Linked DNA regions of Rhinolophus ferrumequinum. The protein of the gene in region 1 interacts with the protein of each later gene in a pairwise test. Links are inferred from orthologs where the notes say so. Each region holds a gene or a part of one and is shown in the gene's direction. Other genes may lie near its edges.

The links.
Region 2: the proteins of CCDC102B (region 1) and NTAQ1 interact in binary tests that used the Homo sapiens proteins (3 or more experiments, as listed by UniProt). The two-hybrid records come from large-scale screens. The link is inferred for Rhinolophus ferrumequinum from reciprocal best matches to the Homo sapiens genes CCDC102B and NTAQ1.
Region 3: the proteins of CCDC102B (region 1) and PPP1R18 interact in binary tests that used the Homo sapiens proteins (3 or more experiments, as listed by UniProt). The two-hybrid records come from large-scale screens. The link is inferred for Rhinolophus ferrumequinum from reciprocal best matches to the Homo sapiens genes CCDC102B and PPP1R18.
Region 4: the proteins of CCDC102B (region 1) and PNMA5 interact in binary tests that used the Homo sapiens proteins (3 or more experiments, as listed by UniProt). The two-hybrid records come from large-scale screens. The link is inferred for Rhinolophus ferrumequinum from reciprocal best matches to the Homo sapiens genes CCDC102B and PNMA5.

The regions. Positions count from the first base shown.
Region 1 is NC_046302.1:53,807,452-53,815,266, forward strand, and holds the start of CCDC102B (coiled-coil domain-containing protein 102B), read left to right. Parts: upstream 1-4,799; 5' UTR 4,800-4,918; intron 4,919-7,815. UniProt on the Homo sapiens protein: During interphase, forms fibers at the proximal ends of centrioles to maintain centrosome cohesion. During mitosis, dissociates from the centrosome following phosphorylation to allow centrosome separation. Contributes to CROCC/rootletin filament formation.
Region 2 is NC_046297.1:60,733,267-60,740,439, forward strand, and holds the start of NTAQ1 (protein N-terminal glutamine amidohydrolase), read left to right. Parts: upstream 1-4,152; 5' UTR 4,153-4,389; coding exon 4,390-4,478; intron 4,479-4,485; exon of another isoform or gene 4,486-4,622; intron 4,623-7,173. UniProt on the Homo sapiens protein: Mediates the side-chain deamidation of N-terminal glutamine residues to glutamate, an important step in N-end rule pathway of protein degradation.
Region 3 is NC_046286.1:1,291,047-1,298,305, reverse strand, and holds the start of PPP1R18 (phostensin), read left to right. Parts: upstream 1-4,245; 5' UTR 4,246-4,583; intron 4,584-5,479; 5' UTR 5,480-5,617; coding exon 5,618-7,234; intron 7,235-7,259. Other genes in the region: NRM (nurim), read left to right, coding at 782-914, 1,485-1,681, 2,274-2,450, 2,810-3,091.
Region 4 is NC_046284.1:7,195,736-7,203,113, reverse strand, and holds the start of PNMA5 (paraneoplastic antigen-like protein 5), read left to right. Parts: upstream 1-4,370; 5' UTR 4,371-4,504; intron 4,505-5,158; exon of another isoform or gene 5,159-5,169; intron 5,170-5,383; 5' UTR 5,384-5,519; intron 5,520-5,983; exon of another isoform or gene 5,984-6,208; 5' UTR 6,209-6,269; intron 6,270-6,461; 5' UTR 6,462-6,586; coding exon 6,587-7,378.

The DNA.
Region 1 (7,815 bases):
TTTTTAGAATATGAAAATATGCTTTTAAGCTATTTTGTAGATATTGTAGTTAGTTCTACATAACTACTTTTTAAAGTAATGGCTACAATAGTTATATGCTGCTTTAGAATAATTCTCCAAATATTGTTAAAGCCATTGAAATTGTTGCAATTAAGATTTAACGGTACAACTGATTCAAGTAGTTAAGGCCACAGAAAATCTGTCTGTCTTACTTTGTCCGTATTTCTGTTTTTCTTATTTTGTCAGTGAGGCACACATGTGTGGTATTGGTGCTATTAATTTTTTCAATTTATAAAAGTAGGACAAAAATTAGTAGAAATTTTAAAATCACTATAGATGTCAAAATCACCATTCAATGTTTTAAAGGTATACCTTTCTAGTTTATTTTTTCTGCAATTTGTGCAATTCAAGATTGCTCTCATTAATTTTGTTTTCTCTACTGCTTTCATAGAATGGCCATTCATCCATCTCTTTATCCATTTATACCTTATTCACTTATCCATTAGTTTTTTGGCTTATTTGCAAAACATTCAAAGAAAGATACAATATTATCTCCTTAAGAAATTCAGTTTGTTAAGGAAACAGACGTGTAAATAAGTACACAGCTATAACCTTTGGCTGTAGTATTCACTCTTTCTGTGGGAATCAGGAAAAGCCTCATAGACATGGTGAGAGATAGCTGTCAAACTGGGTCAGGTTTGCTGTGGGAGTTTGCAATTTCACATAGTTTCTTCTGGAACGATGGAAAAGGATCTGGGGTAACATCAGTTCTGATTAATATGTATTCCCCATTGTTTCTGCAGTTAGATACTATTACAACTTTCTGTTGGCCTGTAGGTCCCAATCTAATAAGTAAGGCCACAAGAGAAATGTGATGACAGTGGTGTAACCAGATCAAGTTGTCTTTTCCTCACATCACGAAAAGCCTGCTGGCAACCATGGTCCTGGCTCCTCCTGCCTTTCCCAGTGTGGTTTCCATCTGAATCGTGACCCTACAATCAGTTAAGGAATTCTTCTCTATCTTCAGCCTCCCAGCCTTGTTCAAGGAGGAGGAAGAAGAAAAAAGTGAAACAATGTGGTGGCATCCATATCAGGAAGACAGAACTTTCCACAAATGCTCATTAGGCTTCCACTTATGTATCACCAGCAAAACTGTGCCATGGAGCTAAGTGTATTTGTCATCGGAGTCTTGGTATAATAGTATAAGCTTTTTTTTTTTTTAACTGTCATATTGTTGTCCCAAATAAAAATACAATTTATTTTTGTGGGGAGGAGGCAGAGAAATTATTCCAGGTTAGCAAACAGTAGAATTCACAGGGAGAACTTGAGATGTACAATGAAATTGGAATCCACACATGCACACAAAAATCAGCCCATATTGATGTGTGTTCAGTGCCTTGTGATGCTGGCAACTTGCCAACAAGTTATGAGAACTCCAAGGCTGAATTTTCTGTTCTCTTTTCCTTATGCTCCTATTACTTGTTATGGGATATGTAGTGTTAAGGTAATGAAGAGGTTTGTACCTGTGTGTGTGTGTGTGTGTGTGTGTGTGTGTGTGTGTGTGTAAAAGGGGGTGGGCAGAGAAAGAGAGAGTGAGTGACCATGGTGGCAGTGTACTCTGAACTAAGATGGAGACACTGGATCGCTTTGTTTCCATGACACTGGTAGGTCCCACACTGTCGGTAAACAGCATTGGTGATCCAGACTTAGCAACAAGGACAAAGCAAGACACCTACTCTACTTTCTGACCCTAAGAAAGTGGGGTTGTGGGGGTGAAACAGAACCTTAATTTGGCAAAGCTTCTGTTGAGACAGTGTTCTCCATATATATATCCCGATTTTCCTGCTCAGTGATTTATACACTTGCCTGTAAAAAATTGATGTGGTGAAACAAAAATCTGATTGGTGTAGGTTCAAGAGATGGAAGGAAATGAAGACAGAGAAACAGACAATTCTTTCAGGTTTTACTACATATAAAAGCAAGCTATTATATTTGAAGGATAAAAAGGTGTGAGGGCTCAGGAATAACAAAAAGGTTGCTAGCTTGAGAGCCTGGATGGATGGTAGTATCGCTACTTAAGGTTGAGAATACAAGTAAAGGTTTTGGAAGAAATATGAGATTTCGCTTTTGAAGATTATTAATGATTCAAATGGCTCCCTGTGAATGTTCTCATTAGACTGTTACAAATACAGATCCAAAGCTTGATAAACTGTTTTGGGCTGGCCATATATATTTGGGAATTTTATGTATATTACTGTATTTGCTAGTGTTCCATAACGAATCACCACAAACTTGGTGATTAAAACAACAGGTATTTATTGTCTCACAGTTCTGGATACTAGTACTCCCAAATCAAGTGGTCAGTGGGACCATAACCTCTAAAAGAGAGAGAAACCTTCCTGGCCTCTTCCTGGATTGTGGTGGTTCCCAGCAATCCCTGGTTTGTATACGTATCACTCCAATCTCTACCTATATCTTCCCACGGTGTCCTTTTCTGTGTTTCTGGATCTAAATTTCCCTCTTCTTGTGAGGACACCAACCATTGGGTTAAAGCCCACCCTTATTCACTGTGACTTCATTTTAACTGGGTTACATCTGCAAAGACCCTATTTCCAAATAAGGTCACATACACAGGCACCAGGGCTTTTTAGGGTTTGCAATTGAACCTGCAACAATGCGTATGACAAAAGAAGGCACAAAACACATGGGGTCACCCTGACAAAGGATGTGGGGTGACACTAGGACCAGCGATTGTTACTTGTTGGTATTGCACCTTGAAAGGAAAGGGAAGTAATAAAGGACGGGGTAAGTACATGGCATGGTCCACAAGACAGAAAAAATAATCCAGAACCGTTGAATTCTGGCAAATACATTGTGAAGAAGAGATTTGATAAGGGGTTAAAATCTTCAGAGATCTGAATTTGCATGAGTACTAGAAACAGACCACCGTCACTCTTGCTGAAGATGTAGAGGGACTAGCATGAGGGCAGGTGGATAAATTAGGAGGACATAGAAATCCAGATTATGACGGTTGCCTGAACTGGGCATAGTATTGAAGGAAAATCAAAAGGCAGTGATGCTGGGTTGGATACAGAATCGAAAAGGAGTCAAGGAAGGCTTCCAGGATTTTTGTTAGTAAACCATAAGCCTGGTTGGCATTATTCAGATAAACAACACAGCAAGTTCACAGAGAAACGATGATTTCAGTTTTAAGTATGTTGATGACATATGTGTGGTATTTTCTAGTGTGCTGATGCACATGAGTGTTGGAGACTCAGAAGAGGATTGGATCCAAATGTTGATAATTTGGAGTCCTCAGCCAAGAAAGATGATCATTGTAACCATGATAATGGGTGCCATTATCCAGGGAGATAACACATTTACATGAGAGCATACCTGATAGACGCCAGGGGTTGGAGGGAAGAGAGGCAACACCCCAGGGAGCGGGGGAGGCAGTGGCAGTGATCAGCAGGAAGACCTGGAGGGTGTCGTGCTCAGATCAGAGAACAGAATCTTCATGTCAGCAGGATTGTGAACAGCATCAGAGGCTGTGTAGATGGCAAGTAGAGTGAGGACTGAGAGGACGCTGTGCAAAATATGCACGTGCGTGCGTGCGTGCGTGCGTTTGTGTGTGCACGGGTGTGTTTCCAGAGACAGTCACGTTGCCGCCTTAAAGGGAGTAGGTGGCCTTAGTATGGATGCTTAGTTGGAGAGAGCTCTTTGAATAATTTGGAGAGGAGGGAGAATGGTTGCTACAAGGAAAATGAGCGAATTGAAAGTGAAATTGATTGACATAAATGAAATTGAAGAATTTATGGTGTTTAAAATATCATGGGAACATCCAGACAAAAGGGAGAGTTCAAAGAAAGGAGAGAGAATGGTGGGTGATCATATTCCCTGAGAAGACGGGGGACAGGAATCCTCAGTGGATTCACTTTCTCCTGCAGAGGGGTCTCCCTCTCCAGAGGAAGGAGGAAAGGATGCTGTGAAGCCGAAAGAGATGATGCAAACGTTGTTCAGCTAAGAATAATCCTCCAAATTGAGAAGGGAGGAGGCATACACTAATTTTAAGACATGAGCTCCCTGACTTTCACATGCTGCTCTCATGCTATTAACAAGGAGTGTAGTGATTGTGTCTCTTCTGTCCTCTCTTCTTTGCGCATTCGGTGCTGTTCGTTTCAACCAGAGAAGCTGTCTTTTATGTGGTCTACCATCACTCCTCCATCAGAACACTTCCTGACAGCTGTGTCATGTCACTGGGAAGTCAGTCCGTGTTTTCCCCCCAAGGAAAGGGGCCAGACAGCTCTGGCTGGGGGCTGTGGAGCTTCCAGATCCTGCCAGCATGACTGAAATCAGAGGTTTTATTAAATGTTTCATTAAATTTTTTTTTTCTTTTTTAGGGGGGGCAGTATAGAAAAAATCATGATAAAAACGATGATATTTTCTTTTGTTCCTGTGATTTTGGGATCGTGGCAGATAGAAACTTTTTTAGGTTTTTTTTTTGCTCTGCCATTTTCCTGTTTCTATTACTATTACAAGCTATGCCTATTGTTATTAAACACTGAACAAATTTGTGGATGAAGGGGCGGGTGTTTTCTTTTTTATCCACAGTACATCGTTTCCAATGGGTTGTATGCAACATGTTGGCTAACCATACTTTGTTAGGGAACGCTGAAATGATTTCATTTTGGTTAGCTCACTTGTGATCCACAGAGGGTGTTGTGGTATTGGTTTTGATAAAACTTCACAACCAATGGGAATCTTGTTCGAGTTAGTGTGGAGTGGCCTTAATGCTGGAAATAATCCTGTTGGCCAGGACCCCAGAGCTCCACAGATGAGAAAAGGATGCAGGAAATTCTGTTGTTTATGCATGTGTCTGTAACACTGAGCCGCTAGAACAGCCCAGCAAGCCCAGAGGGTAAGATGCTTAATAACCTTGTGGTTTTCTACTTAATTTTTATATTTTCCTGCTGGGGCAGAGCATGTGTTGTTCTCGGAGCAGAGAGAAGGACAGTTACTTGTAAGATGCAGAACAAAACTACTGTAGGTCTGGGAAACAGGGGGATTTGGAGTTTCTGCTAAAAGTGGATTTGATTTCTTCCCTCCCTCTTCCATTTCCCACTGTTGGCATTATGTATCCTGACAGCTTGTCATACATTTCCTGTCTTTTAAAAAAAACTGTATACTAAACAAAATTCAGGTAAGAATTTCACTCTAAATTAAGACAGCAATATGATATGTGGGTATTAAAACCTTGTTTGGTAGTTCCAAGTGGATATAAGTTATGTGCTTGAAGTAATCTATATTGTTAGAGTAAAAACAAAGTAAAATTGTTATGCAAACCCTCATACGTTACGCTTCATGTACTTAGAGTTGTTTTCATGCTGAATTCCTGTCATTGTTAACTGAAAAGCATACTTCAGACTTAGCAGTAATATTGATTTCTTTATATAAATTACCTGGGTGGTGGGAAGGAGATAGGGACATAGAATAAAATAATGAGATCCTGTGCATAATAAAAAGGAAACGGATGCTTAACTCTATAGACAGTGCTTATAGAGCTGAAGAAAAAGGGATCTCTGGAAACCATTGGGCAGTATTTGCTTATGTTTCCTGCAAAGATAAATTATAAAATGAATGTTGAGTGGGTGTCTATTAAATAGAAATATAAGGAAGATGTTCTTAAAAACATAATTAGAAACATGTAAGTAACATATGGTATTGAAATACACAACGCTATTTCTTGATATTTTCATTTACATCAACACTAATTTTTCTACTTTGTAAAATCATGTAAACACCCTTTTGCTGATATTTTGTGGGATAGGGTGTTGTTACGACTTCTGATTAAATGTTTTGTTGTTATTTTATAGTCAAATATCCTCACGTCTACATTAAATGTTCTTGAATTCTCATTTTTATCCATATTTTGACATAAGCATTAGATTACAAAGAAATCTCGAAAAGCTAGTGATACAATATATTTATGCTTTGTGTGATGTTGCAATATCAATTTAAAATATCAGTGTGTGTATGTGAATGATATCTAGAAAGAAATGTTTGATATGAATTACTTTTCATTCAAAACGTTACAAATAGTTTTCTTGTGAAATAACAGATCATGTAATGGTTTCTGTCTTGCAGTCTTCATTTGTTTTCATTGGATTCAGTAACTGATTGATCACTGGGACAGAGCTTCTTGGTGCCTCACTATGGGTGTGGTCTCGCAATTTACGAGGGTTTCATCCAATTATTAGAGTCACAAACATAATGGCAGTAATTCTTTAAAATTGAAAATGATCTCAGGCCACTTCTAGTTGAAGAAGTATCCTGCCTCTTATGCTGATATTACAAGGTCAATTGGATTCTGCCATAATGTGAAAATCTTCAAAAATTCCCTTTTTAAAAAGATTTTAGAGAAGGCTTGAAAGAAAAGTCTGGCTTTCTGAACTTAGCCATGAAAAATCAGTGGAACTTGGGTAGTTGCTGGGAAGCAAAAAGACTCTTCTACTTTGTAGTAGTTGGAGCAAAGGGTGTCGAGGCATCAATTAAGACAGAGCAGAGAAGGAGAGATGGGTTCCCTGCCTCATTGAGGCAGAAAAAACACCCCTTTGTGAGAAGCAGACATTGAGCTCCATGGAAAGAGCAGACAAAATCGTGGAGCATCTGAAAATGCACAGAGTGATTTTGTCCTCTGTATGATACAATGGGGGCGATTGTAAATTTCTGAAGAGATGGAGTCTTGTGTCCCTTTCCTCCTCCGCCTCCTTAGTAATCATCACCTCCATTGTCGTCATCTTGCCAACACATGATCATGTTTCCTATGTGCAACATAATTTACATACATGAGTACAATTTTGAAAGTCGTGCAATCAAATGAATTTTCGTTTTGCCTAGTGTCTTCCTCTTACACATGAAGGAATCTGATATGCAGAAACATGAAATGATTTATTTAAAGCTGCGGAGAGAGTAAGTGCTGAAGCCAGGATTTCAAACAATGTCTGTCTGGCTCCGGAGCTATTTCCACTATGTTGCACTGGTATTTTAGGAATGTCAATCCGGCCTAAATTAAGCAGGATGGTTTGGAATGGGTGTTGGGATAACAGAGTGCAGGAAGGAGGCGGTGAGAAAACGGCAACCATCAATTCCAACATCTGCAAATCCAGGCTAATCGCAATTCTCTCAGGTGGTCCACTCTCCTTTGGGGATAGAAAGAGAAACTGATACTGAAAATAAGCTTTTTACATTTAAACAGGCTGTGCTGACATTCAACTCTTATGCTTTTCTCTTTCTCATTTTCTTGAATGTTGTATTCAAAGAAGACAGCTTTGATGTTTCAGGAAATTTAATCACTGATTTTTATCGATATTACCAGAAATGAAATATGTGAGGTGCCTGGCAATAATACTGGGAACACAGGGGTTTCCTTTGTTTCTTCTTGATGTGTGATATGAATGAATGCTTAGTGACCGCACTTTCTTAAAATTATGGAAAAAAATTATTATCAAAGAGAAGTATCATCTAGGCTTTATTTCAGTGGGTGAAGAGCATTTATAAAATATATGCTGATATAAAATATATCAGTATGTAGTAACATACTGATGTTACTACAGTATAGCCATAGTAAAAAGAATAGATCCTAGTTATTAAAACTTTCCCCCTTTACAGCCAAACTTTAAACATGCTATTTCACTTTCTCTCTAAATAGAATAGGACTAGTATCTAGAATGGGACTCATTTTATTTTTTTTCTGTTTTTCATTGTTTTCAGTTACATAAAATTACCTTATATTAATCTATGCTGCCATTTTAGCAA
Region 2 (7,173 bases), on another chromosome or scaffold:
AATGAGAGGGGAAGATATGTCATGGTTTTATGATGTGCTTTTCAGACTTTCCTGCTTTATCAGCCTTCCCTAATACCACACGCATGGGCTGGTCCATGCAGAGGGCTCTGGGAGTACTGCCTCCCTCCTACCCCATTCTAAGTAAGATGAGTAATAACTGTATTGTGTTCCAACCCAGCCCAATACCCCTTTCCCAATGGTGAGGTGCTCTCCACCCAGAACTCCCATAGTACATTGCTGCCATAGCACTTAGTGCTTTATACTGAAATTATCCCATTTAATATAGGTAAGTAGTAATCAAATAAATGGAAATTAAAATAACAATGGGAATGACAGTTTTCTGACATATATATATATATATATATATATATATATATATTTAACCATAATACTCAATGTGATGTTGAAGTATAGGCCCATTTCTTAAAAGCAACATAACAACATGTATCAAGAGACCTGGAAAATATTTAAAAACTTTGGCTCAGGAATTCTACTTCTAGCACTCCATCCTAACATAATAAGCAGTCATGGACCAAGATTTATGTATAAAGATGATGATTGCAGCTTTATTTACAATGCTAGGATCTGAAAACAAACTACTGTACAATAGTAGGGAAAAAGTTAAGTGAGCAACAGTTTGTCCACACAGCTCTTTATATTTTTTCCTTTTTTTTAATTGGGGAATATTGGGGAACACTGTGTTTTTCCAGGACCCATCAGCTCCAAGTCAAGTTGTTTTCAGTCGCAGCTCAGCTCCAAATCAAGTTGTTTTCAATCTGGTGGAGGGCACAGCTCACTGGCCCATGTGGGAATCGAACTGGCGACTTTGGTGGTATGAGCACTGCGCACTAACCAACTGAACCAGTTGGCTGCCCCCACAGCTCTTTATATTAATGTTGCTATAAGAAAAAATTTTTATTCTTAAAAATGAGAAAAATTCCAGCAGTACAGAAATGTACAAAATAAAGGTACAAGTCACTCTGTGTGATTGCTATGAGGAAAAAGTTTTCTTTCCACTGGGATTGCCACGCCTGGAAAATATGAATATGGGGCTGCCAGCAGCCATCCTCCCACAGCAAGAAGTGAAGTGACCTGAGAATGAAGCCAAACACTGAGGAGCAGACTGAGACAGGAAGAAACAAGGCCTGGGAGGTGAGTTCTGCTCCTGATCCCTTGAGACCCTGGTTTCTGCAGCTCATCCTTGACGGTGAGAGTTACTTTAGTGTCCTGTTAAATGAGCTAATAAATAGCCTTTCTGCCTTGACTTTTAACTGAACAAGTAACGAGTGATGACTAATAAAACTGGGCCAGCTGCTTTGCTGGAATCAAATTTTATTGTTAGTGCTATAATCCTAACGATCAATTAATTCTTTCAACAACTTGAAGTGAGGTCCATTTGGCATGAAATAGACTTTGGTAAACCACTGAAGGCCCCTAAATAATCACCTTTCTTCATGGTCACAATAGGCATCAAGTTCACTAGCGTCTAGTGTCTGAAACACATATTCTTTCCTTTTACGTGACTCAAGACAGCAAGTATTCATATTTAGTCTCAGGTCACCTCCTCCAATGTATTTTCTCAAAGATCCGTAAGAAAGGCTTTGGTCATAATCTAAAGCACTTGCAGATGCTGGGATATAATTATCTGGATCTGAAGATTTTTTTTTAACCCATTTAAGGCAACTTAGTGCTTCCTATCACTGTACTTACCTTGACTTTAATTTCCTCTTACTGCTATTTTCCTTATTCTTTACAGCTCGAGGTCCATTTTCTTTGATAGAGCAAAACAGTCACTGGCTATTTGTTTTCTTTCAGTTGTTTTATCACACATCATGTCATATGATCCCAAGCAATGGGATTCTCTCTTCCTTTTTCTTGTAGTTCTTAGTATTGAGCATTACAAATACCGCCCCCCCAATAAAAAATAAAACCTCTGTTTGTTAGTAAGCCTGTGTATTATGTGCTGTAGACTTCCTGATACTCCTCTTGCATATCTGTGGGCATTTTTTATATTTTCCTTTATGTGTCCCTCCTCCAAACCCTTGCCCTTTAACATCTTGATTTCATTGGGTATTGGCTTCTTGGAGTGCATCTCTTATTTCTTCCTCATTGGAGTCCGTAGGTTAGAATCTCGTTCTAAGCACCTCTACTCCTCTGAGACCATATCTCTTTTTATAGTCTCTACTATGAAATCATATGAGTTTTTAAAATACGATCTATTTTTTTTTTTCAATTTAAAAACTAGTTCCTTCTTATAAGAGAAAATTTAAAGCATAAAGCACATTATGGCAGAGACTGCTGGCTCTCCTCTACCCTTTCTCTGTTGTTTTCCCAGCAACTCCAGATCACCCCCATCCTGGGTAAACCAGTGAACTCCTCTGCTATCTGGTAACCAACCCACACCATGTCCAATGAGGTCCAAACCCCTTTCAAATTTGTTCTTCTTGAGTACTCTTCCCTCTAAGTACCATGGAAAGTTTCCTTGTATCTTATAGTTACACTTTTATCATAGTTCTTGACATTCAACTTCCTTAAGCAAGGTAGAAGTGGTAGAAGGGAGCAATCACCAACCAATGCGGGGATGCCTTGGGAGTCTGGGAGCCAGCAGGGGCAGAAGGCCTTCAGAATGCATTGGGGTGGTGGTGGGGGAAGGATAGAGGGGCTTAGGGAAGTAGGGGAGACTCCAAGACGATTGACGGAATGCTCAGTGTGTGAGCCCCCCAGCCACAGGTAACTGTGCAGGCCATGAAGTGCTTGCTGAAGGAGTATGGGAGGCAGTTGCCTGCAGGCCTCCCTGGCCTCTGGTTTGTGTCAAGAGGGCTGCAGAAAGGTTATTGTTAAGCTAAAGTTGCAAAGTCACAGAGGGACCAGTAGGATCTGTGGCTGGGGCAGACCTCACTGGATGATGATTCTCATGACCACTCCAAACTTTTGTACCATCCCAGCAACTGGAGTCTTCTTCCTGCGACACGATTTAATGAGAAGGCTTACCACCATTCTCTCATTAAAGGAGAAATGCTTAAGGGAATTATTTGTCTAGAGCCTATACTGAAGTGTGTATTCAGAGCTGAGAGGCAATAAATTGACAACTGACCCAAGGACTTATGCTCAGTCTTTAGGATTTTGGGGTTTTAGAATTCACGAGTTGGGCAAATCTGACTATAGATCGCCTATACACCAAGAATTTCAGTTTTGATAATGGAAAGTACCCTGATCAGCTATATATGCCCTTTGCAAATAACAGACAATTCAGAGGACTATAAAGCATCAAGTGAAAATCCTCCGTTATCATTCATTCACCAGAGATAAACAATTTCAACCATTTGGTGTCTTTCCTTCCAGGCTGGCAACAAAATAAACATGACTAACACAATGGGTACCATGTGGATTCTTTTTAAACTTTTTTTTTTACTTACTATATCAAAGAATCCATAGATCTTTCTTAGCCAATATATACAATTCTCTATTTTTTAAAAATGTTACAATACGGTGAGATTTTAGGGTGATACCTTTCGCTAAAACCATCCTTGATGCAGACGTATTTGGACTTAACTCACCCCCCCCCCCTTTATTCCCCCTGGATCCTGCGGGCACTAGGCTCAAAGTGCTGAAGCTTCATTTTTCACACACAAGTCTCTTATTTCACTCGCACACGTCGAGTCTTCTACATCTCATTTGGTGCTTCCACAGCTGGCAACCCGACCACGCGTTGGAAGAAGGGTCTCAGCCTCCTCCTGGAGAGTCACGAGGCGCCGTTCAGGGTCCGGCGGTTTACCAACTTGACGTTCTTCCTTGACTTTTCAGGTCGCCGGCTAGTGACCTCTCTTTTCCCCCACCTGACTGGCTCCTCGCTAGTACCGCCGTCCCCAGCACTCCCGGCCCCGCCCCACCTGGAACCCGCGCCGCCAGCACCGCCCCGCCCTGGCTCCACCGGTCCCGGCCCCCTCTACCGGAATCGCGCGGTCCTCGCCGGAGTTCAGTCCGCGGGAAACTTAAGCCGCTCACCCAACCCCAGACCCGCCCACTTTGCCCTGGCTCCACCCTCCCGTAACTAGCCCTGCGCGTCCCGCCCAGGCACCGCCCACCGGAACCAGCTCCGCCTGCACAGGGCCGTCCTGGGCCCGCTCTTTCAGCCCCTAGCTCCACCCACCGGAACTTGCCCCGCTCTTGTGGACCCAGAGCTCCAAGAACCTGAGCCGCTCGCCCCGCCCAGATTCCGCGTGCTCGTGCCAGGCTCCACCACTCGGGAACTGCACCAGCTGCCCCGGCTCCGCCCACTCCGCTTCGAGAGCCTGTGCGGGCTGCTGCACGCCAGCTTCGTCCCCAAAGCGCGCCTGGGGGGCTGGACCAGTTGGCGCGCTTCAGGCCCGTGCCCTGGCCCAAGCCACCATGGAGGGGGATGTCCCCGACGCCGCAGCCGCCAGCTACCAGCCGGCCAGCCCTCCAAGGGATGCCTGTGTCTACAACAGCTGCTACTGGTGAGGGGGCGCGGGTGCAAACGCTAGCATCTCCGTGGCTGCCGCGACGTCGCCGCTAGGCCCCGCCTCTTCCCGGCTCCTCCCCCGGGCTCTCTGGGCCTCTACTGGCGGGTTTTCCGGTTTGGCGCAGAGGACGCCGGAATGGTAGCTCGCGTCTTTTGAGTGGAACGTGGGCATTTGGATGGGGGTGGGGGTGGGGGTGCGGAATTCGCCAGTAATGGTCGAGTCGGCAGTGTATTACTTTTGCCTGGCGCTTTTCGCTTGGACGTTTCTCAGCGGGTCTCAGTGCTTGTGGGCTAGGAAGGGGAGGCAGAGGCGGAGGGTGGAGCGCAGAGAGCCTAGAAATTACTTTGCCTGAGCTTGTGTTGTGTCACACTGATGTGATGGTCATTTTAATTTCGGAAGAGAATGGAGGCACAGAGATTTTGCTGTAACTTTCCCAAGGTCACCCAGTTAATAGTATCCAGAAATCCATTTCAGGCCCTCTTGTACCAAAAACCACGGTCTTAACTACCATGTTGTCATAATGGTTACACTTACATAGTACTCGCTATATGCCAAACATTGTGCTGAGTGGTTTATGTAAACGGATTCATTTATGCCCCGCAATTGCCTTAGGAGGTAAGTATTGTTATCCTCATTTTGAAGATGAGAACACTGAAGCACAGAGGGCTGCAAGTAAACTTGTCTGAGGCCACATGGCTTGTAAGTGAAAGAATGGGGATTTGTGAGTAGAGTACGGCCCTGGAGTCCACACATTGTACCCCTGTCCTAGGCCACCTCTGTGGCTGAATCACAGTTCCTACCTTGGTCCTTTTCACTCCCACACCTACCCTTTCCTTGCCTGTGTAATGACTTCTTCCCCACTTCCAGTCCCTTTACAAGAAACGGCAGGGCCACCTAAAACTATCTTTCCCTCCTTCAGCTGGTCACCAAACCAGTGCCACCCAGAGCTTAACGTTTGTTCAGCTCTGACTGCTTATCAGGCCCAGTGCCAAATGCTTTCTTCCATCCATGCCTAGGAGATAGGTTCTATTACTCATTTCTCTCATTTTACTAATGAAAAGACAGCCACAGAGAGGCTTGTTGTTGGCCCAAGATCAGCCATTTAGCAAGCGGTAGTCCTGAAACCAACCTCTGTAATGCTGGAGTCCATGCTTGAGTACTGCACTTTATTTCTGCCCTCCCGCTCACCTAAATCCTATTAGTTCTTGTCCCTAACGTCCATTCATTTGTTTTATTCTTTCACTAAGTATTTATTAGACATTTGGAGTGTGTAATGCACGATTTAAGGTACTAAGGATACAGCAGTGAACAAAATAGACAAAAGTCCCTGGTAAGATCTCATGGTTCTTACATTTTAGTTGGGGAAAAGCAGACAAAAACAAACCATGCTTAGGTGTTGTTGAGTGTTATGAGAAAATTAAAACAAGGTAAAGGATGGAGACTTACTATTTTATATTAGGATATTTAAGGAAGACATTGTTGATAAAACGATCTTTGAACAGATCTGAAGAAAAAGGGCGGAAACGTCGTGGATATTGGTGGGAGATCATTCCAGGCAGAGAAACAGCAGGTGCAAAGGCTCTGAGAAGGAAACAAGCCATGACTATTCTAGAAAACAAGGAGGCTGACACGGTTGGAGTGGAGGGATTTGGTGGAAGAATGGTAGGAGATGAGCGTCTCTTCAGTAGATCATCTTTTTGAGTTCCTTCTACCGTCGGTCAGATCCTCCTTGACTTGCTTGCTGTTGGGGGCATTTTCCAGTCCTTCCTAACAGGTCTCTCTGCTCAGCTCTCCCATATCCTGTCAGGTCTAACTTCTTTACACGTCTCAAAGCCATCATGAATTTGAATGTGCCAGAGAATCAGCTGGGAGCTTGGAAAACATACAGCTCTTAGGATCCACCCCCTCACCCCCGAGTCTGGATGTGTGAGCGGCACAGTGGAGCAGTCTGAGTCTGGCCTGACGGTCACATATCAGGGAATACAGACGTAGATAATAAAGTCTGTCCCCTGAGCATAGCAGGCCCTCTAAGGTCTGCTCACTGTCTGTTCCTCCAAAACCTCATTTTGAACTTGGCTTCCCTGCCCTACCCCAGAGTTTCTCAACCTTGACTCTGTTGGCATCTTGACCATGTTAATTCCTTGTTGTGGGGACTGTCCTGTGTATTGTAGGATGTGTAGCAGCATCCCTGGCCTGTCCCCACTAGAGGCCCATAGCATCCTCTCCCAATGTGTGACCACCAAAAATGTCTCCAGACATTGCCAAATGTCCCCTGGAGGCAAATCGTCTCTGATTGTGGACCAGTGCCTTACCCTGTCTGAACATGTGGGCTGGGTGCACCTTACTACACTTGCTCCTGTGGGTACTTCTAACTTGAAATAAACGTTGCCTCTACTTCTGTTAGTTTCTGTCAGATGTTAACTTATCTTTTAAGACCCAGCTTAGGGATAATAGTGGTGGCCGATGTTTGTGTGACACTGTGCGGTTTGCAGAACATTTCTGATTCTGTTGCAATTGTTTTGTGTTTTTCAATCAGTTATTGAGCACCTACTGTGTGCCAGGAATCCTTGTCCGCATGTCTTTCTGAACTCAGCCTATCACCAGTAACCCTTAAAGTAACCATGGGCCCTAATGCTGCTTTATTAGCCTTTCTGCTGCCAAAACAGTCAATTGACAGGTTGGAACATTT
Region 3 (7,259 bases), on another chromosome or scaffold:
ATCCAGCTGATGAGGTTGTAAAGTCATAGATAATAAATTCATAGATAATTCCAAGCTTGGGTAAAAGTAGCCTACTGCCAGGGCTTACAACTGTAATACGTAAAGCTTTCTACCACAAATATTTTCACATTTTTATTCTCATAGTTACAAATCAACAGCCTTTGGCATTATTAGAACAAATCTTTTAGTGTTACAGAGAAGTTCTCTGCCCTTCTTAGCAAGTGGAGAAACAATAACCCAACTTTTTCATAAGTTACAGAATAAGCATTATTTTGTGGTAAAACAGTCGCTCATTTTTCAATCTAACAAGATGTAATAAGTGACTCAGAGCTTTGGGTTCTCAGCCGTTGTCTCGCCGTTCATTATGTGTTCGCTGAGGCTTTAGAACCTCTAACTCTGGCTATGTTTTCCAGCCGGGGCTGTTAAAGAAAGGGGGTTTCTACCGCCGTTTCCAAGAACCCAGCAAGAGAGGAACTGTATTTTAGATGGGTAAACCAGCCGAGGTGGGTTTCAATTCACGTGAGTGGCTGCAGAGCCAGTGTCCCTTCCCCTCTCACTTGGGATTCTAACATTCCCTCTGTGACGCGGAGAGGACAGGCTGGGGACAGGCACCCGGGCCTCGGCCCTGCCGCGGGTGGCAGAAGCAGCGCGCAGCGGGCGGGTAGCCTGGGCGTGAGCACGCAGGAGCCCGCCCTCCTGGGCAGGATCCCAGACGGGAGGCGGAGCCTGCGGCCGCGGGAACCCCAAGCCCGCCCCCTTCCCCACCCCTCAGTCTCTCGCCATGGCCTCTGCTCTGCTCCTGGTCCCTGCCGCTCTCGCCTCTTTCATCTTGGCCTTTGGCACCGGAGTGGAGTTCGTGCGTTTTACCTCCCTTCGGCCACTTCTTGGAGGGCTGCCGGAGTCTGGTGGTCCGGGTGAGCGGGAGGGCTGGAGGATGAGCTCTGGAGTAGGGAGGTGGGGCCGGAGGAGAGGGAGCGGGGGCGGGGCTTGTAGACGAATGACAGGGGAAGTCCGGGAGAGGGAACTGTAACCGAGAAAGCCTAGAGAAACTACAGGAGAGGCCTGCGGGCTAAATTAGGGACTCAGGGATTAGCGGTTTGGAGACGCGGGACAGTGAGGACTGAGGCGGAGGGAAAGGGCGATAAACAGAGTATGCTGAGGAAAGTGCTGTGTAGAGAAGACTATGGAGAAGAGAGTGTTAAAAAAAAAGGCGCTTTGGAGAAGCGAAATAAAGCGCAATCCAAGGGTGGCTTCTTGCATGCCGTTGTGACTACTCAGCAGAATCATCTTCCCCAGCTCTGAAGGAGGCCTGGGAAAGAGGGAAGGAACGGGGAATGGGAAAGTGAGGTGGGCAAAGCGTAAAGAGGAAACAGTAAGGCTCTTGAAAGCATTAAGGGACCTGGCCTGGGGCCCCAAGAGGAAGTGAAGGTAAGGGGTGTTTCCCACCATCTTGTTCTTTTGTCTCTTTCTCCAACTCCCCCTAGATGCCCGCCAGGGATGGCTGGCTGCCTTGCAGGACAGAAGCATTCTTGCCCCCCTGGCTTGGGATCTGGGGCTCCTGCTACTATTTGTGGGGCAGCACAGCCTCATGGCGACTGAGACAGTGAAGGCGTGGATGTCCCGGTACTTTGGGGTCCTTCAGAGGTCACTGTACGTGGCATGCACTGCCCTGGCCTTGCAGGTATGAGGCCCTGGCACTGAGTCCCCAAGGGAAACAGTCTGGGAATGATGATCTAAATGGCAGGGACAAGGACCTTTGGCTTCTGATAAAATGTGGAAGCATTTTGGAGGAGAACTGAGGGTATTCAAGACTAATCTCAGCTTCCATTCCTCCACAGCACAGACCCTATTTTTGAATCAAGAAGGATGTACTGCTTCTCATTCCCCAACTGTGCCATGTGCATTCTCACCTCTGCAACTTTGTCTGAGTTTAAGGTCCTCTCCTTGACCCCTCTTCCGCCCTACCCTTTCTTCTAAACCAAGGGAAGTCTTCCCACTGGGCACTCATCTGTCTTCTCAGTGGGTACCTGGCATAGGCTATTTTGTGCACCTCTCTAGTCACCCCCATCCGTTCTGTAAGTCCTTCTGGTAGAGACAGGTCATCTTACAAACTTGGGGCCCCACCCAGCACCCTCCACATGGTGACTGTTTCTTAGTGATGCTCATGGTAAAAGGTGGGGAGAGCGGCAGGCCAGCCGGGGGTGAGGCAGCTTCTCAGTCCTGGTCTCTCAAGGATGGGCTGCTGGGTCACCTAGCCCCTCATCCTTCCCCAGCTGGTGATGCGATACTGGGAGCCTGTTCCCAGAGGCCCCGTGTTGTGGGCAGCTCGGGCTGAGCCATGGGCCACCTGGGTGCCCCTCCTGTGCTTTGTGCTCCACGTCATTTCCTGGCTCCTCATCTTCAGCATCCTTCTCGTCTTTGACTACGCCGAGCTCATGGGCCTCAAACAGGTGAGGTTGCCAGATCCCGACTTGAGACCTCTGATCCTTTCTAGAATGCCTCTTTCCTTTCCAAGGATTTCCCCCCTCTCTTCCTCTCATGCTGTTCTACCTTCCTCTTGCTTTCAGCTCCCTTACCTCCCTTTCTTATAAGATAGTCTCCCCTCAGCCCTCCCTCAAAGGCTAAAAACCATGGGCCTCCTGGGCCTGTGGAAAGTTTGTGGCCCAGAGATGAGGGTCAGGGGCACAGGACTCAGAAGAGCGGTCCCTGGGCCTGAGTTATAGCAGGAGGGTGCCTGGAAGGGGAGGAAAAGGTGGCTAAGTTTCAAAAAGGGCTTGACTCCGTTTCTAAGCTGTTCTCTCTCTCCTAGGTGTACTACCATGTGCTGGGGCTGGGCGAGCCTCTGGCCCTCAAGTCTCCCCGGGCTTTGAGACTCTTCTCCCACCTGCGCCATCCAGTTTGTGTGGAGCTGCTGACAGTGCTATGGGTGGTGCCCACCCTCGGCACTGACCGCTTCCTCCTGGCTCTCCTCCTTACTCTGTACCTGGGCCTGGCTCACGGACTTGACCAGCAAGACCTCCGCTACCTCCGGGCCCAGCTGCAAAGAAAGCTCCACCTGCTCTCCCGGCCCCAGGACGGGGAGGCCAAATGAGGAGCTAACTCTGGTTCCAAGCCGTGTACTTCCTCCCCCCCTCAGAATTCAAATTCCTTGATATCCAGGCCCTGGCTGCTTTAGACTAGAGGCTTAAATCTGTGGACTGAAGGAGGACCTGTCCTGTCCACTCCCGTCCCTGGGTCCATCTCCATACCTTAAATTCTGAGTCTCAGCCACTGGACTCCAAGGTGCACTTCTCACCAGCAAGGGAGAAGGGTGGGGAACTTACTGGTCTCCTCACAGATTGGGGGGGCTTGACATCCCCCTCACCAACCTCAAAAGGAGAAGAGTCCAGCCTGACTACTCCCCTGGCACAGTTACTGCCTCTGCACTTCCAGGATCATCTCCAAGTCTCACTTCCCCTCCTAGGAGCTGCAAGTTTGAATAGTGGCTGTCCCTCCAGGATCCCCACTGGCTGGCCTCTCCACCTCCTTAGGCCCCGCCCCCGGGTTCTGTACTTGAACCTACTAGGGAGGACTCTCCTGCTCAAAATTTCGGGTGACTAAGGGCCCCCCTGTTCACCCGAGGAACACGCAATGGAGGAAAATAAATTTCAGCTGGGTTTTTCTACACATAGTGCGCATTTTGTCAGTCTCAAACTTGCAGGGCTGAGTTTGGGAAGGAAGCGAGTCCTGAGCCTGGGAGCGTCAAAGTCTAGTCTGGGCAGCCAAGGGCGGCGGCCACTCCCGTGGACCCACCCCCACCTTCCCGGAGCATCCTAGTCCCGCTTCCTCCACATTCCCCAATTTCCCCGAAGCAGACCTTGGGACCCATGGGAGACGAAAGCATAAAAGAGGGGGCAGCGTCTCCGGCAGGAAAACGAGCTTCCAAAGCTATTGGCCTCCGAGCGCCTCTCCTCCCCACCGGCCCCCCACTGCCTGGCGGCGGCCCGGGACCCCGTAGCAACAAAGGCGGGCCCGGGAGGCCAAAGTGTGGGGAGGAGCGGCAAGAGATGGGAAGGGCGGGCCCCGCTCCGAGCAGCTGCTGCTTCCTCCCCAAGTCCCTCGAGGGGCCTGAGTCACGGGCCGCCGCCCTGGGTCGGCGGTCTGGGGGTGGGTGTCTGGACACCTGGGTTCTCCAGGGCTACCGGACGTAAGCGGGGTGAGGGACCCTGGGGACCGAGAGCTGAGAGCCAGGGGTGGCGGCGGGAAAAGGGGAGCCGGGATCCGAGTCCCACGGAGGGCCGGTGGGAGCGAGGCCCCGCCCCCTCCTCGGGCTCCGCCCCGCGCCCCCTTCCCTCTCCCCATTGTCCTCAGACAAAGCGGTCACCGCCCCCCGCCCGGCCCCCAGGTTTCTGTCTCCGTCCCTCCTCCTCGGCTCCCTCTTTCACTCCTCCTCCTCCCCCTCTTCCCCTCCCTCCTGTCTCCGGATCTCCCTCGATCCCTCTCTCCTCCTCTTCCTCTCGCCTCTCTCCGGACGCCAGGCTTCTCCGCACCCCCTCCCCTGGGAGCCCCGCTGCGTGTGAGTTGACAGAGGCGCTTCGGACTTGGTGAGGGGCTGTCTCTCCGCTCCGGTCCCTGGTCCGGACCTTGGGCTGATTCCTCTTTGTGCTGAGATTGTCTGTCCATGCGACTAGAGCTGGGCAGGGATGGCTGGCAATGTCATGGTTCCATGAGAGCCGAGACCCTGGCTCAGGACGCGAAGGCTCAGGAGAGAAGAGGCGTTGAGCTGGTCCGCCGCGCTCCTGGGTCCGGGGCAAAGCCGGTGGGAGAGGCAGGCAGTGGTGACGCGCCGGGGTGGGGGTGGACGTTAGGGCTCTGGGAACGCGCTGGCAGACCCGGCGCCCGGGTTCAGAAAGTCCCCGGGGGAGGGTATTTCCCCTGGCCCGCCCTGGGGCGGAGAGGTGGGGGAGCCGGGAGGCGGAGCCCAAGCACAACTGGAAGGGGAGCCCGGATTTCGGGGGCCCGCGCCAAGACGCGCGAGGGTGCACCCGCGGAGCTCCCTTTCCCCTCTGAACCCCGTTTCCCCTGCTCCCCTAGACCTCCCCACTCACCGTCCCTCCTCACCTCCCCGACACCCACTCGGGTCCGGTTGCCCCCTCACCGGCGGGATTCCCTGACCTCCCTCCCCACTCTCACTGCCCCCAGGGGTAGCGGTGAGGCCACCTCGCTTGAACCTGTCCCGCCTCACCCGCTGCCTCTCTTCTCTCTTCTCCCTCACACCAACTTCTTTTCTCGCCCTTTTCTCTTCTTACATCCTTGGGACTGTCTCTGACACCCATTAACCCTGTACTGCCAAATCTGACTCCTGCCCCTTTGCTCCGAATCTCCACTCTTCCTCTGCTTCACCCCCTCCCCGCCCCCATCAACTTGGCCCATAGCTTTTTCTTGGTTTTCCCCTTTCTCTCTCTTGCCTCTTCTTCTTTCCCTCTGTCCTCACTCTCAGCTCCCCTGTCCTTCTCTGTGTCCCACTTCCCCCTTCACTTCCTCCCCCCCCACCCCCAGTCTCACCCCCTGAGCCGTCTGGAGCCTCTCCTTCCTGTTCTCTGCCCCCAGTGCTCCCCACCCTCACCTCCAGGAGACCATGGCCACCATCCCGGACTGGAAACTACAGCTGCTAGCCCGGCGCCGGCAGGAGGAGGCAGCAGTTCGGGGCAGGGAGAAGGCGGAGCGGGAGCGCCTATCCCAGATGCCAGCCTGGAAGCGGGGGCTCCTGGAACGCCGTCGGGCTAAGCTTGGTCTGTCTCCTGGGGAATCGAGTCCTGTCTCTGGGAATGCAGAGGCTGGACCTCCAGACCCAGACAAGTCTGCCGTCCTGCTGGAGGCCATCGGGCCAGTGCACCAGAACCGATTCATTCGGCTGGAGCGGCAGCAGCAGCAGCAGCAGCAGCAGCAGCAGCAGCAGCGGAGTGAAGAGCTTACAGAGAGAAGGCCTGGGCCCTTAGAGGCCCGGGAGTGGAGAACCAGTCCTGGGAACATGCGGGATCCAAGCCCCAAGGGAAAAGAGTCGAGGGAAGAGCGGCTCAGTCCCAGGGAAGCCAGAGAGAGGAGGCTGGGCATAGGGGGAACCCAGGAACCGAGCCCCAGGCCTTCAGAAGCTCAGGAGTGGGGACAGGGCCCAGCAGAGGCTGCAGACAGGATCTCCATGCTGTCAGAAGCACGGAAATGGAGGCTGAGCCCCGGAGAAACGCCAGAGCGGAATCTGGGACTGGCAGAGCCTCGAGAACAAAGCCCCAGGAGAAAAGAGGTGGTGGAAAGTAGACTGAGCCCAGCAGAGTCTGACAACCAGAAGTTGGACCTGACAGAGGCCCATAAATGGAGGCCTGACTCCAGAGAGTCTCAGGAACAAAGTTCGATACAACCAGAGACATCAGAATGGAAGCTGAGCTCAGGAGAAGAAAGAAAAGACTGCTCAGAGGAATGTGGGAGGAAAGAGAGGCCAGTTCCAAGGACGGCCCCAGAAGAGAGTCCAGGGCTGTCAGAGACGCTGACCAGGGGCACTCCAGAAACCAGCTCTGGAGGAGTGCAGGCCGCAGAGCAGAGGCCCAGCCCCATGGAGGATGGTGAGAGGGGCTTGAGGCTGGCAGAAGGGTGGAAATGGACCGTGCACTCTGGGAAGGTTCGAGAATGGACACCCAGGGACACAGAGACTCAAACTCAGAGGCCAGACCCTCCAGAGTCTGCTGAGAAGCACCTGAGGCCTCTTGGTGCAAAGGCTGGAGAAGGGGAGGCTGAAAAGGAGGAGGCGGAGGCTCCGGGCAGGTCTCTGAGCACCCTGCAGAACCTCCGTTTTGTGCCCTCCCCCCTTCCACCAGAGGACGCTGGGACTAGAGGCTCTAGACAGCAGGAAGAGGAAGCAGTGGAACTCTGGCCCCCACCCACAGCCCCTCTGTCTCCCCCACCCCCAGCCCCACCTGCTCCCCAGTCCCCTGGGGATCCCCTCATGAGCCGCCTGTTTTATGGGGTGAAGGCAGGGCCAGGGGTGGGGGCCCCCCGCCGCAGTGGACACACCTTCACAGTCAACCCCAGGAGGTCCGTGCCCCCTGCAGCCCCTGCCACGGCAGCCACAGCTGACACTGCAGTCCCTGGGGCTGGGAAGAAGCGGTACCCGACTGCTGAGGAGATCTTGGTTCTGGGGGGCTACCTCCGCCTCAGCCGCAGCTGCCTTGTCAAGGGGTCCCCTGAAAGGCACCACAAACAGGTAGGGAGCAGCCAAGCCAGACTCC
Region 4 (7,378 bases), on another chromosome or scaffold:
TGAAAATAAGAATGCTCAAAACCCCTATGTAATTCTTGTTCTGCTCAGTCTTGGGTTAACAGTCTCATGAACCCATCAGCTTCTTCACTAGAATTCTGGAAATTCTGGCTCAGTCCAGTGGTAGGATCTCAAAGCTATTGAAGCAATGCCATCAGAAGCTTGTGCCCCCAGAGCACCTGGAATAGCCCTTTCCATGGGGATCTGAGACAGTCACTTTTTCTTGAAGATGAAGCATTCCGGCCTGTAGTTGATTGCAAGCACTTTCAGGGAAGATTCAGTGTAAAACAAAAAATTATCTGTGAATGACTTAAAATGCCCATGGTTAAAGATCTGATGAGAGTTCATTACAAAAATCATGCAATTGACAAATTTGGTTGTTTCTGTGGCATGCAACACTTTAGAAGTCCAAGGCACTATCCATGACTATGGAGCCACTTTGTGGCATGCAACATTTTAAAAGATAACTAGAATTATGATTGATAATGCTATACTGTTGTTTAATATCAGGCAAAGCAGAACCAGGACATATTCTGGACAGTGACGGTATTGGCAAATCTCTAGGAACTTCATACAATTTCTGAAATATTTTTTTATTTTTATTTTTAAAATTAGTTTCAGCTGTACAAAACAATGTAATAGTGAAATATTTATATTAATAACATTTTGCCCACACGAATTTAACTTAGGGAGGGTTAGGCATCTCTTCTGATTGACAAAGCCTCCCATGCAATTCAATATATCAAATAAACCTAATTATTTCTAACACCTGTGATTTTCCAGGGTCCCTCAAAGAAGGTCGAGATCAAGAATACATCAATTAGGATTTGAGTTTAGGAAGGCAAAATATCAAAGTTGTTGGGAGGTTTGAACACTTGGCTAAATAATATCATGTGTCAATGAGAAACACTCCTTGGCTTTCCATTTAACCAAAGTGACAAAACATTTTAAAAGAAAAGATAGGAAGTAACGCAACTGAAAAGAACCTTAGTTCTTTCAAAACTGAAAAGGTTTGGTTCTCAAGCAATTAATGACATGATAAAGTCAACATGAAGGACAGTAAATTATTCTAAGACACAGAATCTTTGCTTTCTAGGCTGATTACTCAGAAAGCAAAGCAAAACAAAACAAAACCTTGGGTGGCTGGATGGCTCAGCTGGTTAGAGCACGAGCTCTGAACAACAGGGTTGCCAGTTCGATTCCCACATGGGCCAGTCAGCTGCGCCCTCCACAACTAGATTGAAGACAAGAAGCTGCTGCTGAGCTTCCAGAGGGGTGGCTGGATGGCTCAGTTGGTTAGAGCGCGAGCTCTCAACAACAAGGTTGCCGGTTCAATTCCCGCATGGGATGGTGGGCTGCGCCCCCTGCAACTAAAGATTGAAAACGGCGACTGGACTTGGAGCTGAGCTGTGCCCTCCAAAACTAGATTGAAGGACAACGACTTGGAGCTGATGGGCCCTGGAGAAATACGCTGTATTATATATATATATATATATATATATATATATATATATATTCTATCTATATATATATAATATATATAAATGCATATATATAGCAAAGCAAAACCTTTTACAGCCTCTTACTAAGAGCCTACCAATAATCTAAGTTTTTTTTCTCATTTTAACAAGGAAAATCAAATTCTAGTTTCGCATCAGTGTACTGCTTAATATTACAGCTCATTTTAAAATAGCTCATAAATAAACCCATTGAACTTTAGCCAGTTATGACCACAAGAAATAAAATTTATTTTCTACGAACCTTCTACAACTTTCATTTTGATTCAAGTTTTGTCCTGTTGGCATAAAAAATGTCCAAACCTGTAGATAATTTTTATAAGAATTTGTTTGAGCCAATCTGACAACATATGCCAGGAAGAAAGATCTTAAATGCTCCAGAGACTAACAATGTTGCAGCTTCTTTTATGCATTTGAAATTAAGGAGGGAACTAAGGAAGATTACATGGGGGTGGGAGGAAGCAAGGCCAAGATTGGATTACAGGAGAGGAAATAAGATTATGTGCTCTCTTGAGTGTGGTTTTGCTTCTGAGGAGTCTGAAAGGGGGTATTTCAAAGGTGTGTTGACCTAGATGCACAAGAAAAACGGACAGGGCTTGCTTAAAAACTAAAGAAGTTTTTTTAGATTCCTGTTTGGGCACAATTGTTCTTCAGCAGAGACCTCTTTCTTCCAGATACCGGCACCATTTAATAGTGATGCCATGGTAAGGAAATAGACTGGAATGCCCTGGGACTAATTCTCTCTGGCTTTTAGGCACTAAAAAGAAAAAGAAAAAATTCCATCAGGTCTGAATAAGCCAATTCATGGACAATTATGAAGTGAGAAGTTTCAAGACAGACACCTATTTCCTAACATTAGGTATGTCAGCGAGTAAGTTATAATTGGGAAAATAAAAGAGATGCAAATTTATTTGTAAAAAAAAAAAACTGAAGAAGTTACAGGCCTAAGGCATGACTGACTACCCACCATGGCCTGTCCAATTAGGAATTTATGATCACATCACCCTGTGAAGTTCCTTTCCATAGGACCCCTTTTTTCATCCATAGTCCTACGCTTTCGTCTTTGTCATTCTGGAACAGCCAGTCATTTTACTTTAGGACAAAATTAGTCGTTGTCCTTAACAAAAACACATCCTGCATACCTTATATACTTAATTTAGTATAAGGTTTTAAGTTACCTAAAGATCTTGAAACCTTTAGGGCTGACATACTACATATGAAATATAATTACTGTTAAAATAAAGTTTTGTCAGAATAAGTTCACTTTGAAATAGTACATACACATACATACACAAAAACATACATATAAAATAAATAATCCTGGCAATGTAATGTACAGCATGGTGACTATACTTAATAATACCATATTGCTTATTTGAAAGTTGCTAAGAGAGTCAATCTTAAAATTTCTCATCACAAGAACAAAAATTGTAACTATGTGTGATGATGGATGTTAACTAGACTTATTGGGGTGATCATTTTGCAATATATACAAAAATTGAAGCATCATGTAGTACACCTGAAGCTAATATAATGTATGTTTTCAGGGGTATTTCTTAACCTCCCAGGATCACAGGGCCAGCACACCTCTTTCCATGATTATCACCCTTTGTGATACCTTGTAATACCTATAATACCAAGTGGCTCAGTGGTGGTTTCATGGAACCACAGTGATCTGGTATGATGAGAACCCTCAGGTAAAATGTCCCACCTGGGGTCGACTCTCTGACAGCACCAGGTAACCATCTTTTCTTGGCATGGGAGATAGAGTTAACAGACTCTTAATAGTGTGTTCTTATTATGTAAGGCCTATTGAGGCCTTCTCAGACATAGCAAACAAATGTCGTTGAAGGGGAACAAACATGTTGCTCAGTAACCTTTCATTTAAAATTTTATTTCCTTTAAATATTTTTATTAAAGCATTATAGGACAGCCTGTTCACTTGTATCCCTAATAAAGGAAAAGAAATCTATTTTTTCACCAAAGGCGCATAATTTCTGGATCTGAAAAGTAATTACAGGCTTTAGAGCCTTGGTACTCAAAGCCTAGTCAGAGATCTGTAGCATTGGAGTCACCCAGCTTTCGAGAAACACAGACTCTCACTCACCCCATCCTCCTGATGCAAACATGCATTGTTATCAAGACCACTTTCCATTGTGCTACCTGTAGCCCCCTAACGCCCATTGTTGAACAGCGCATTTGGGTCCTGAAGGCCCCAGGGCAAATGTTCCCTGAGTGGAAGAAACCTTTCGAAAAGGGCAGGAAGCAGTTTGACTATTAGGTGGGTAATGGGTAAATCCACTTGCTCATAAAGTCAAGAGAATAATGGGAGAATGGAATCCTTGAATCCTTCTCTGTCTCTTGGTGAACTCCAAAAATTTCCATGCCCTTGGGAAATACAGGGAGCAGCTGTATTGTTGCCATGCTCCATTAGAACACAGCGGAAGAAAAAATAAACAGGGATCAGGACTTTTCTTTAGAAAGCACCCTCTGGGGCTTTAGTTTTGCACCCGGCCCTGTGATGACTTGCAATTTTCAAATTTGAGGAGGGGCACTGGTGATTGTTACCGCACAGCTCGGGTAGAGTACAGAAGAGACAATGTAACAAGAGCCACAATGGCTCCTGGGCCTGGCGTTCCACGTGGCAGGCCTGGTGGTCTCTTTGGAGATAACCCAAGGCCGGAGCAGTCCAGCTCTGCACTGCAATGTACACTCCCCCGCAGCTTGATTTGAACTCTCTGTCCCCACCTCCGCCAAGTGCATCGGGAGAGGAACAAGGGCTGAGACAAGGAGCACCCCCTTTCGAAGGGGGAGGAGGGTACCATTCTGCGATGGCGCAGGGACAAGCAGGCCGTGTGCCCCTGTTGGGGGCGCCAGGGTTTCTTATTTTATAGCCTCCTCCCCCTAACTCCTGGCCCAGTGTGCACCGGGGCTACAGAAGCGTGGTGGCTGTGGTTTTCTGGCGTCTGGCCTGCAGACATCTCCAGTAGGTAAGGAGTGGGGCCCTGAGCAACCCAAACCGCAGGACGTTGTCCCCAGTGGCCCTTGCCGTCTTCCTTGGCATCACAGGGGGCCCCCTGGAAATGGGATCCTACTAGATCAGGCTTGGCACCCCGCGGGCTCCCTGCCATTTACAGGCCATAGCAACCAGCCTGGGAACTGCAGAGGAACTGATTCCATGCCTAACCCTGCCCAGAGCCATTGCAGTCTGCATATCCAGAACAAATGGCTCTCGGCCTTGCTCTGGAAGGAAAGTGGCTTCAGCCCTTCCTCTCCTGGCCCCCGCCAACATCAACTGACCAGATGTATTCCTACTACAGAATGGGGGGTGTTTGAGGTAGGGGGTGTGTAACGGGTGGAGGTTTTAGGGAAGGGGGTTTAGTGTGGGGGAGGGGAGTTTAGGGGAATGAGAATAGGAATAGGAGTTGGGTTTAGGTGGGGGGCAGGGCTTGGATTGAGCTGTAGGGGTGGAGCTTGGTGTCAGGGGTTGGGCTTGGGTGGGGGCGGGGCTTGGCGTCAGGGGTTGGGCTTGGGGAGGGGCGGGGCTTGGTGTCGGGTTGGGATTGGGTAGGAGTGGGGCTTGGTGGGGGGGCTTGGATCAGAGGTTGAGCTACAGTGGGGGTAAGCCTTGGAAAGGAGTGTGACTTGGCAGTAGGTGGGTATGAGTGGGGGTATGAAATTGAGGGTGGGGACAATAATCTTAAAGTGGGATTCCTCCTGCTATAACAGTGGACCCCAGTGACAAGTTTCTTGTATCTCTGCACCAGGGTACCTGTGGCCAGCTCTGCAAACTTAGAATTGGCACAGCCTGAGCAGGGGCACGTGGGGCAGAACCCTATCAAAATACCTCTGCCTTGTCTTGGGGACAGGTCCAGTGGAACAGTACCCCCCCCATACACCCTGGGGCCAGGAACTGCCTGACTGTGGACAGCTGGAGAGTTGACTGAGTGTTGAGTGCCTGGGGCATCCCTGTATCCACACCAGCAGAGGGGCCTACTCAGCAAGGTGAGTGGTGGTGAGGAGGGCCTGTGTTGGGAGGAGCCTCTGTAACCCTGGCAAAGATCAGGAGGGGGAGGGGCTGCCTGCCAAGATGTACAGACTCTGCAGGGTAGGGTCATACCTAGACAGAGAGCTGTCTGTCTCCTGAAGTGTGGCACTGGTGACCTTTTCTGGGTCCCCTTTCTGCCCGATTCCAGCTCCCACACATTTTAAAATCATAAGCTCTTGATTTTTTAGCATTCCATCCTTGCTGCCCACCCCCATCTTCCCTCCCCCGAACCCCCCCTTGTTGCTGGGACACTACATTGGTTGGAGGCCAGTGACATCACCTGTTGCTCCTGGAGGGCCTTAACCTTACCACATGACACCAGTCTGCGATAGAAACCCATGGTCCACGCTGTTCTCAGTATCCATGGCAACACTGCAGCTTGTCACAGGCTCTCCACACCCACCAGTTTCATTGCATTGCGCAGAACTCCAGCCATCTTTCTCATCTGTCGGGCATTTTCTGAGAAAGAGGGGAACTCTGCATCTCCCTCCTCCTCCCTTTGCCCTGGCAAAGAGGTGCCAGGTGCCTGAGGCCTGAACAGCCCTGAGCCAGGGAGTGGAACGTTCTGTCCTCTCTTGCTTAGAGGGCTTTCTCAGTGTCCCCAGTCATCAGGCCGTGCCTCCTGACGCTGGCCTTTTTACTACAGGCACCTGCAGCACCTGCAGCAGAGTCCTTGGAATTTGAGAAGGAACCCACAGCAGGAGGAGGTCAGCAGGGAGGGCATGAGGTGGGGGGAGCTTGGACTGGGAGGCCCCTCTACAGTCTATACTCCACCAAATGACTAGGGGAGCCCTGGGAAGCAGGGACTGAATTCCTGTGAGTGGAAGTGGGGGAAGAGAAGGGGCTCTTGATAGAGGGGACTTGGCGATAATGATGCTTTCACCCCAATTGCATTACAGGCTGTGGAAACCTCGGACACTTCTGCCTTTGTGCTTGGCATTGGCTCAGAATTCACTGAGCTGTGGTCAAACTCTGAGCAGATTACTACCCCTAGTATTAGATCAGTTCATAGAAAGTGGAAGCAATGGCCGCTGTGACACTGTTAGAGGATTGGTGCAAGGGGATGGACCTGGACCCTAGGAAGGCCTTGCTGATTGTGGGGATCCCCGTGGAGTGTAGTGAGATGGAAATTAAAGAGACCGTGAAGGCAGGCTTACAGCCCCTGTGCGCCTACAGGGTGCTGGGCAGAATGTTCAGAAGGGAAGACAATGCTAAGGCCATCTTCATTGAATTGGCTGACTTTGTCAATTTCACTACGATACCCAGTGAGATACCAGGAAAGGGAGGTGCCTGGGAAGTGGTGGTGAAACCCCGTAACTCAGATGACGATTTCATCGCTAGACTGAACTACTTCCTGAAGGATGAGGGCCGGAAAATGGCAGATGTGGCCAAAATCCTGGGGTATAGCAGTGTCACTGAGAGCGTGGAGCCAGAGGGTTCTTCCCAGTTCAAACTGGCAGTTATTCAGCCTCTGAAAGAAACCATGTGGTACCGAAAACTTAAAGTGTTTTCGGGAAATACTTTCCCAGGCTCAGGTGAAGAGAACTTTGAAGTCTGGCTAGAGCACGTCACTGAGATTATGAAGGTGTGGCAAGTGTCTATGGTAGAACAGAGGCGCCGTTTGCTGGAGAGCCTACGGGGCCCTGCCCTGTCCATCATGAGGATGCTCCTGGCTAACAATGACTCCATGACTGTGGAGCAGTGCCTGGACGCTCTGAGGCAGATCTTTGGGAGTAAAGAGGACTATAGAACCTCACAGTTTAAGTTTTTTCAGAGCTTTCAGCTGTCTGGGGAGAAAACCTCTGTTTTTTTGCTA